2 linked regions of the Caenorhabditis elegans genome follow. The protein of the gene in region 1 interacts with the protein of each later gene in a pairwise test. Each region holds a gene or a part of one and is shown on either strand. Other genes may lie near its edges.

Evidence for each region.
Region 2: the proteins of mthf-1 (region 1) and pbs-6 interact in a two-hybrid assay, tested with the Caenorhabditis elegans proteins (3 studies listed by BioGRID).

The regions. Positions count from the first base shown.
Region 1 is NC_003280.10:7,773,114-7,779,761, reverse strand, and holds mthf-1 (putative methylenetetrahydrofolate reductase (NADPH)), read left to right. Parts: upstream 1-1,938; 5' UTR 1,939-2,012; coding exon 2,013-2,095; intron 2,096-3,256; exon of another isoform or gene 3,257-3,391; coding exon of another isoform or gene 3,392-3,411; intron 3,412-3,465; coding exon 3,466-3,540; intron 3,541-3,590; coding exon 3,591-3,963; intron 3,964-4,020; coding exon 4,021-4,758; intron 4,759-4,805; coding exon 4,806-5,219; intron 5,220-5,268; coding exon 5,269-5,423; intron 5,424-5,467; coding exon 5,468-5,621; 3' UTR 5,622-5,854; downstream 5,855-6,648. Other genes in the region: snpc-1.1 (snRNA-activating protein complex subunit 1), read left to right, coding at 1-117, 171-366; C06A8.6 (U2A'/phosphoprotein 32 family A C-terminal domain-containing protein), read right to left, coding at 5,897-5,998, 6,049-6,207, 6,264-6,446, 6,496-6,648.
Region 2 is NC_003281.10:8,242,466-8,246,150, forward strand, and holds pbs-6 (Proteasome subunit beta type-1), read right to left. Parts: upstream 1,628-3,685; coding exon 1,362-1,627; intron 1,317-1,361; coding exon 923-1,316; intron 875-922; coding exon 758-874; 3' UTR 657-757; downstream 1-656. Other genes in the region: Putative zinc finger protein C02F5.12, read right to left, coding at 321-404; cids-1 (CID domain-containing protein 1), read left to right, coding at 1,980-2,117, 2,161-2,294, 2,337-2,520, 2,568-2,812, 2,865-3,012, 3,061-3,159; putative GTP-binding protein C02F5.3, read left to right, coding at 3,426-3,685. UniProt on the Caenorhabditis elegans protein: Non-catalytic component of the proteasome, a multicatalytic proteinase complex which is characterized by its ability to cleave peptides with Arg, Phe, Tyr, Leu, and Glu adjacent to the leaving group at neutral or slightly basic pH.

The sequences.
Region 1 (6,648 bases):
GCAGGGAACATCGGGAGTTGCAAGAATTCGGGCACCAAAACGTGCAAATGCGAAATTGGTTGAAGTGAAACGAGAACAAATCCCACAAACTTCTGCTCCGATAACTGCTTCCCAAATGTAAGTGAAGATTTTTGTTTTTTTCTTCAATTAAAAATTATTAAATTATTCAGTGACGAATCATTCACATCGCCTGCGAACAAGAAGAACAGAAAATCGGCCAGCGTAGTTGAAGTGAAACCTCGAATCAGTGATGAATGGGCCAACAAACTGCACGCATGGCATGGACAAGTCGAGGCTACGGATAAACATTTGAAAAAGTTGACAAGTCAAATTAAGCTGGAAGTTATTGAAGACGAAGAAACATAATCATTTCATTTTCCTTGCTAACCATTTTTTTTAATGAAAATTATACTACATGAATTTTTTTTTTGAAAATTAAATTAAATTTGCTGCTGAGTTGCCTATCATCTCCGACTTTTGTTATTTTATTAATCTCTGTTGGTTCAATCTTTTCAATCTTATACTTTTATCTGTCCAACTTCCAATTATCACCAGTGATAAATCGCCGCAAAAGACCAATTGAAATGGCCTGATATCGTGCATTACATGATTATTTCATACAGTTATCATCTTGTGCTGTAGCCCATTCGTGAAAGCATTGAGTGCACTTTTCAGAATCTTGTTGTAGTTCTACTGAAAATTGGTTTTAATCCTATAGGATAAAATTTTCGTTTGTGATGGGAAGGCAGTATTGAGAAATTGTGGTTTTCGTTTGAAAACGTACTATGCTAAAGTTCTCTTCAAATGACGATTAGTTCAAGGTCTTGCTTAGTTTCCCATTCTTTCTTGAGATACTATCAAATAGTAACTATCTACGACTTTCTTACTTATCCTTTTTTTCTAGAACGCATCCGTATTTTCTCAGTTACTCTTGCACCAAATAACTTATATGACTGCAGATATCAGAAAATATTTAATATGTTATAAAAACTACAAAAAAAAAATTTTGTTTTGAGAAAACAACAGAATTTTCAAAGTTGAATAATAGAGCAAATACCTAAATGCTAAATTTCGCTGTTTAAAAATTACGGTACCCGGTCTCGAAACGGCCAATAATTTTCAGTGAAAGGAGAGGAGTGCGGTTTTAAGGAGTACCGTTGTTCAATTTTTCTTAGTTTTCACACTCACTGTTTATTAAAAATTGAAGCTTAAAAAACAGGAAACGATAAAAAACTAAGAAATCAGCAAACTGCTGAAACTACTGTACTCTTTAAAGGCGTACACTTGTTTTTGTTGACATATTTTTAATCGTGTCAGGTACCGTACAACATGGCACTGGCATCTCCATATAAACATCACTGCATAAGACAAACAAAGAGAAGTTCCACGTTGAACTATTTGGCAAATTTTTGGCAAAACATTATTGTTGTTGCCCCGATAACAACCCAACCAAATCGTTCACAGGTCATCATGCACCAAAATATTGTTAATACTCATTTGTTATCAAATTAAAAGACTTCCCCACTCACTTTTTCTGCTTCAAATACCGCTATTTTCAAAAAATGTTTCGATTTATCTTTTTTGTCTTTTGTAAGAATCCGATTTCTATGAAGGAATCGGCGCCCCGCTGAGAATGTGTATTGCTTCATGTATGCAAAAGTGCACTGAGTGCCACGACGAACGCTTTAGTGAGAGAACGAGAGACCCAGCATGCTATGTTCCTTCTATATAAATATTGAACAAAACAAGTGGTTTTATGCCAGAAGCACGTTTGTTTCTCATTTTCTTGTCATTTTTGCTTAGATTAAGAACATTTAGCGGACATTGATAGTTCTATGACTTCTCTTTTTTCCAATTTACCAACCGTTTGCCACCTTAACGCTCCGCCCTTTTCTCTGATTGTATAAAAGAATCGGACTTAATACGAGCAAATTTCAGTCGGTGAATCTCATCAAACAACGGATTCGTGGTTCCCGACAGAGAATAACTACGGTTAAAACGAACCAAGGAAAATGACGAATACTGGAGAAACTAAAGTTATTGAATCTCATGGAACCATTAAGAAGATCGATTCTCTGTCCACAATGCCATATTGGTAGGTTCTTTATATTAATCTTCTAAACTTAGAGCATCTTTTTATGTCTCAAAATGCTTTTAAAAAAAGCACTGAAATATGCCTCCTTTCTACCAATTCTACCTACTTGACCTCTATCTTATCAGAAGACATGTCTACCACCCATTTGTCCCACTGCGATCACAAACTGATCTCTTATCAGTGTCAACTGTTGGATACCATTGATATTCACGTGATTTGGGCATTTTTATATTGTTGAGAGTGAAAACCTTTCAAAAAAAAAATACAATTTCTGTTCAATTTCAAGAACTTGAAATTTTCAAAAAAAAAGCACGCTGATTATGGCTAAAGTTAGAATGTTTAGTTAAAAAAAAAGAAACATATGAGAAAATGCAGAAAATGACCTGAAAGTTGCCAATTACCGAAAAACAAAGCTTGATAATTCGACAATCGGCAATTTGCAACTTCCAAGTAATTTTTAAGCACTTTTTCAAAATTATCATCCGAAGTAAACTATATTTACAGCTAAATCGATTGATTTCCTATATTTTAAAACTAATTTTTAACGAAAAATGTCGGAGAAACATGGTGCATTTATATACTAGAATTGTCCAAAATATTTGCAAGTTGCAACCTTTTGAATCACAAATAGTATTTTTTTCAAAAATGAGCTAATTGACTTTTAGAAACATAGTAATTACTTATCGTTGCTAATGATTTCATCTCTTATCACCCCACAATATCTTATCAATGAAGGTGAACACGGCAGAGTACAAAACGTGTCTATTATCAGAAAAAAGTTTGTTAGTCCTCTGCGACACATTATTCTCTCTGCACTCGGAAAAGATCGAATACTGATCTATCAAATTTAAATCTAACCGTGTTTTCTTGCCTTCTAGGAGACAATTTGATCAGTATCTCTCTATTAAGTGGAACAAAAGACACCAAGCAAGAAATTTCCAAGGAAAAATACAGGGAAATAATTTATTCGATCCGAAATTTCAAACAAGAAAAAGCTAATATATCATTGATGATAGTGAATTATTATTTCGATGTAGCACTGTATTAGTTCAACATCAGCTTTTTGTTTTCCGAAGTTCTGAAAAATTTGAAAAAAAGTACTTTCCTACTGTGTCAGTATCAAAGAACAAGTTGTCCAAATCATAATTGTTACGTTCCTAGATCTCTCCCGAGATTCATATCGAATCACATGATGATTCTGGAGAAGATATATAACACTCCGCCCTTAGAATCCTGTTTGCCACATTTCTTCATTTGTCGCTAACAAATTTTGTTTCCTCGGAGACTCTAGTTGAAATGGCCGTTTTAAGTAAAAAGTGGGTTGTTGATTCAGGTTTTTTGATCGAATAATATAATATTTTGAATTTCAGTGGTGTTGAGACCGATGAGAATGCGGTTGTCGAGGAGAAGATAACTCTGGAATCTGGAAAGAGCTGGTCACCAAAGTAAGTTTTGATCAGATATAAAGCTATTACTAAACAAATTTATATTTCAGGCATTATGAACTTCTTCACGAGAGAATTGAACGTCTTATCGATGAGAAACAACAATTCTTCTCTCTTGAATTCTTCCCACCTCGATTTGTCAATGGAGTTCCAAACTTCTTAGAGCGTGTTGAACGTCTTTCCGAAGGTGGATCCGTCTTTGTCGATATGACATGGCATATGGGAAGTGATCCAGCTAACGTCGATAAAGTGACTTCATCGTCTTCGATTGCTGCTTCAATGCTTGATTATTGTGGAGTCGACACTATGTTGCATATGACTTGTGTTCAATACAATAAAGCTGATACTTTGAAACATCTCGAGCAAGCCAAGGCAATGGGATTGAGAAGTATTCTTGCTTTGAGAGGAGATCTCCCACCGGGCGTAAGTTAATCATGAAACAAGATTGTCAAAAAATTAAATAATATTTTTCAATTTTAGACTGAGCTCGAAGATACCCATCAATTCCGTGCACTTGATATGATCCGCTGGATCCGCGAAGAATATGGAAACTACTTCTCAATTGGTTGCGCAGGATATCCTCTTGGACATCCACAAGCTCCGTCTTACAAAGCTGATCTTATGTACTTGAAGGCAAAATGTGATGCTGGAGCAAACTTCGTCATTACTCAATTATTCTTTGAGGCTGAAACTTTCGAAAAGTTTGTGCGCGACTGCCGTGAAATTGGAATCACTCAGCCAATTATTCCGGGAATCATGCCAATTATGGGTTATGAGTCTATCAAACGTATTGCCAAACTCTCACAACTTGAGATTCCACAACATATTCTTGATGATCTCGAACCAATCAAGCACGATGATGATGCTGTTCAAAAGTACGGAACAGAGCGTTGCATTGAAATGTGCCGCCGTCTTCTTGACAATGGAACTGCCCCTTCCATCCATCTATACACTATGAATCGTGAAGGAAGTATTCGTGAAATTCTCAAATCTCTTGGTCTCTGGAAACTCGAGGGTGATCGTGTTTTCCCATGGAAAAATCGTTCGCAACATCCTATCAGATGTCTGGAAAGTGTTCGTCCAATTTACTGGAGTTTCCGCCCACGCAGTTACATCACCAGAACTCGTGATTGGGATCAATTCCCTAACGGAAGATGGGGAAACAGTTCATCGCCAGCATTTGGAGATGTCAGCAGCTACTACTTGTCTAATTTGACGGTTCGTTCAAAGATTGTGTTAGAACTTTCTCACAGATAAAATTTCAGACTGTTCGAAACGCCGATGACCGTCTAGCTATGTTCGGAGCCAACATCGAGAGTTTTGAAGACGTCAAGCGCGTGTTCATCAACTACATTACTCAAGCTCCAAACGCCGATGGCGTCAAGGTTACTGTACTTCCATGGACAGAAGCTGAAACTGGTGTTCAGCCAGAAACTTCATTGATCAGTGAACAACTTGTTTGGTGTAATGAGAATGGAATTCTGACCGTCAACAGTCAGCCATCAGTTAATGGAGCTCCATCCACTGATCCACTTGTTGGGTGGGGAAAACCAGGAGGTTACTGCTACCAAAAGGCATACCTCGAATGCTTCATGACCGCGGAGTTGTCCGACAAGCTCATTCAAATCATCGAGAGAGAATTCCCAGTCAGAGTTAACTACCATGCCATCAATAAGGATGTATGTTTAAAAAGTAATTTTAAAAACCATAAAATAAATTCTTCTTCAGAGTACCTTCGACAAGACCAACAGCGAAGAAACCACTCCGATTGCAGTTACTTGGGGAGTATTCCCAGGATCTGAGATTGCCCAGCCAACAGTCGTCGATCCACTCTCTTTCCGCGCATGGAGAGATGAAGCTTACCAAATGTGGATGGCCCAATGGTAAGGTATCTAATCACTCGTTCTGTCTAATTGTTTAATTTTAGGGGAGATTTTTATCCAAAAGAATCTAAATCATATGGAGTCATCAAGGCTGTTCATGATGAGTTCCGTTTGGTTACTCTCGTCGACAACGACTTCCAGAAGCCATCAGTTCTTTTCGACGTACTTCAAAAGGCCCTCGACGAGCTGAAAAAGTAAAAATCATCAAACTAATTTGACTTTTTGACACGTCTGATTTCAATTCATTCAATTTTCCACCACGATATTCACTTCCGTTGATGAAATACACCATTGGTTGGGACACTTCCCCTTATTCTCTATTACCAGTATTACCCTATTAAGTTTTAGCTTCAACAACCCCCGATTCAAAATCGCTCCCTCTTTTATTTTATTTATTTCCGGCTTCCTTGTTTAATAAAATATCAATAATCAAGAAATCTTCATCTAGTTGAATAAATGCTAAAGTTCAAGTATTAGACGGACTCAGTGGGATGATCATCAGACGGATTATCAAGTACAACACGCGAAAGCTCTGTCTCATTCTTCTCTTCTTTTGGTGGACGGAGCATCGAATGCTGAAATTAAAAAACAAATTGAAGATTAATTTAATTAAGTTTTAAATTACCTCACGGCACTGAGTTCCATCAAGACGAGTAATTTGTTGCAAGAGATGAATAACCTTTCCACGATAAGTATCCACTGATGCAATTGGATTGAAATCGAGGTAAACACTATTGAGTTGTGGAAGTTCAACCAATTCATCCATAATGCTCCAGTTATCCAACTAAAATTAACAAAGAATTGATTAGTTATGGAATGTAATCAAATGATCTATATTACCTTATTTCCTCTTGCCCAAAAGTCTGTAAGTGTCTTCAATTGATGGATATTCTCGACCTTCTCAAGACGATTCTGATTGAAATCCAGAATTTCAAGAGGAAGATGCTCATCGATTCCACAAACGTACTTGATGCCATTTTGAGCCAGATAAATCTCTTTCAAGTTGTGAAGTCCCGAAATGTTCTGAAATTTTGTTTTATAAGTGGTATTTAGAAAGAAGAAATAACTATACATCAACTACAGTAATCGCATTGGCTGGAAGACTGAGAACTGTGAGCTTCTTCAAATGATCAACATTTTCAATAAGACGAATCTGATTAGCGCCAAGGAACAATCTATCGAGTTTCAGATTGTTGTCGAGATTCTCGATTTTCGCAATTCTATT
Region 2 (3,685 bases), on another chromosome or scaffold:
CTAGGCAATTGTAGTGCCTTGGTGCTTTGATTAGTTCAGTTTGTGGAACATCAAAGTGAGTAAGTAGTTTGAGCCACTGGGGATTTTGTAAACACATTAGCTTAAAAGTACTATTCCTAATTTAGAGTTGTTTCCTACAGTAATATCATTCCAAAATTACAATTTTATAAAATACAGTATTTATGATTTTTGATCGACCATTACATAAAGAATAACCTGTCATATTATTTTTATTGCCAAAATAATTATTACTCAAGTTTTTCTAATCTCGGGAATATTTATATAATTAGAAGCTAAATGTTGCCAAAAGCTTGACCTACCAAAATAGATTGCAAATCGAGTCCTCGCATTTTGAGAACTTCCAAAGTTTGATTGTAGATGTTAACTTGAATATAAGTTGACATTTTTCAGTAAATACCAACTTGTCGAGTTGCAAAGCAGGAATGAATCAATGACACAGCTGGGCAGACCACAAAGTAAGAGACTCGAAACGCAGACGGTTCTAAGCAGCGCCGACTCACTCCTTCTTTTGCATTATATCTTGTGTCTCACTCGTGCGTTCTTGCCCTGTGTGTTTTCGCTCTCTGCATTTTTCTCTCTATTTTGTAGTTTGCGTTGGACGCCGAAATGTAGTCATGTTGTAGACTACAACATATAAGTGGAGGAATATTTATCAGATTACCGGGATGGTAAAACAATTTCAGAGGGGAAGAGGATACGAATAAGTTAAAATAAAATGAGATAGATACTGCAATAATTAATCCTCACGAAGTGGCAGGAACTTTACGACGACTGGCTTTCCGGCTTCAGCGATGACCAAGTGAATTTTGTCTCCAGTAGAGATTTCACGCTCAGCAGCACCACGGAACGAATCCTAGAAAAAATAAATGAATTAGGTTAAAATTACGAAATTCAATTATACCTTCATCAATGAGATGGCTCTGTCCAATGTGAGTTCCGGACGCTCATATCCTTCAGAGAGCGTAACGTGCCCGATTTGACAATCCAAGAATGGAATGATCATTGGTTCAGCGGCTCCACTGGCTGAGTATCCAAGACGCTCGATACATCCGATTGGGTCGTAACTGAACACGGCCCCTTTTCCGTGCTCGTCAATTCCGGCAAGAATAGCTCCAGTGTAGTATGGGAAGAACCGACGGTAATAGAGGTTGCGGGAGAGAAGTTCTGCGCAAAGATCCACAGACATGTCAGAGCGATAATCGAAGCGGTACTTGTGGAGACGAGATTGGAGAACTTTCTTCAATTGGAGGACATCTCCATAGAATCCAGAGGTGGTGAGGATGATGTTATCATTCCTGAATTAAGAATTATTATTAAAACAAAGACAAATACTGGCTTACAAAATTTGAATCTTCTCTGCGTCACGTGTAAGAATGTTGATGTCGTTTTGGGTCATTCTAGTATCACTTGCCACGATGGCAAAGTTCTCCCCAGAAATGGCACAGGTTGATCCTCCCTCCATTGAATACGGGTTCCAGCGTTGACGCTCAATTTGTCTGGAACTCATCCACTCTGGATGAGCTGCAACTTCCTTCATTGCCTGCTTGAACATTGCCATTTCATTGGTGGCGTTGGCGACAGCCGTGATTCCAGTGAAGCTTGTCATCTGAAAAAGGCGTATACTTATTTAGTTGAAACAATATAAATATTCAATATGACAAAATTCAATTAATACAGAAAACAAATGCTCGAAATTTGAGAATTCAACATAACAGGAAATGCTGACAATGAGAGACATCGTCATTTACAATGTTTAGTCCGCAGTTTTCTGCGCGTTCAAATGCACATCGCACATCGAACTATACGACACTTTGCTGAAATTTATTGAAACGCGTTTTCCTCTCTTTTTTGAATGAAAATTCATTTTTCCAAGGTATTTTTGAGGACAATTCATCGCTTTATCTACATTTCTGATTAAAATTTTTGTGATTTCTTTTTTTCAATAATTGATATTTCAGATGGCAGATTTCACAGAGCAAACTTTGCGACAGAAGTTAACAAATTTATCAAACCACCCTTCCTCAATTCAGACGACTTCTGCCTGGCTTTTGCAAAATCATAGCAATCGGGAATTGATCATTCGAGTTTGGCTAAAGGTATTTTATTCATATTGTATCATTTTTTAGTGTTGTATTTCAGACAGTAAAGAAAGAAACACACGGCTCAAAAATTGTAAATCTTCTTTATGTGGCGAATGATGTAAGCCAAAATGCGAGAAAGACTTGCCCACAATTCAAGGACGAATTTTTTCCCGCAATAGAAAGTTCTTTCAGGTATTGGCATTTTCAAACGTCTAATCTCAAAATTAATTTCAGGCATGCAATCGAGTTGAAAAATGCAAAAGAAGTGGAACATGCAATTGGTAAACTGATCAATGTATGGAAAGATCGTCAGATATTCACTCCATCACAATGCAAACGGCTTCATGAAGTTCATCAACAAGTTAAGCTATCTGGAAGCTTCCCAACACCCGCAGTTGCGAACAAGGAACATGGAAAGGTGTGTGAATTTAATAAATTCCAAAAGAATGCCAAAATGAGCTTAAGGTCGCTCAACCTAGTCAGTTCGTCGTTGAAGAAGCGAAAAAGAATGCACAAGATGTTTTGCTCAGTTTGAAGCGCCTTCAAAACCCGCCGAGCACGGAAAGAGAAATTCGCACAGAACTTTCAAAATATCCGGATAATATTTCGTGCCCAGAAAAGTTGCAGTCAGTTCGAAGTTCGCAAGAAGCACAGTCTCTGTTGGTCCAAAATGAAGAAGCTCTTCCGATGCTGGAGGAATATGTTAAAAGGTTTGATTGAAACTTTTGTGAATTGATTTTGTACATTAACTTATGCTTTCAGGCTGAAAAACGAGACAAATGAACGCGAAACTCTCGAATCGAACTTGAATATGCTTATAGAAAATGTTAGAATGAGCATTGAACATCACGAGAAATTGTGCAGAGAAGTTAAGCGTAGAGAAGATCGAATCAAGGCAGATTTGTTAGAGGTTTGAAAACTAGAAAATCAGTTTTTGCAGACTTGAATTGAATTTCAGGTTGAAAAAACATTCGAATCGTTGCCAGATTTGGCTGCTGAGATGCCAAATGCACCATTGCCAACACTTGAAGCTTTGTTCGAGAAGAGGAAAAAATAAGTATCATACTACGTCATAATTATAACTTTACGATCTCAGTAGCTTTTACTGTACCCCCATTGTTGTATAATTTTTGTTCACTTTGATCTTTTACAATCGTGATCACCATTACCACATAAGTGCTTTATACGTTTTTCTTCTGAACCACCTTAAATGAATTTATTTTTTCTAAAATTCAAGTTAGTTCTATTATCTGAAAACGGTTCTTAACCAGTGTTTATCTCTGAAAGTTTGAAATTAATTGTTTAAAAGCTGATATTTTACAGATGGGTATTCTGGAGAAAATTGCAGAAATCGAACATGAAATTTCAAGAACCCAAAAGAATAAAGCCACTGAATACCATTTGGGTCTTCTAAAAGCAAAGTTGGCAAAATATCGTCAACAATTGTTAGAACCAACAGGCAAAGGAGGTGCCAAAGGAGAAGGATTCGATGTAATGAAAAGTGGAGATGCGAGAGTTGCAATGGTTGGATTTCCTTCCGTCGGAAAATCGACTCTATTGTCCTCAATGACTTCCACTCACTC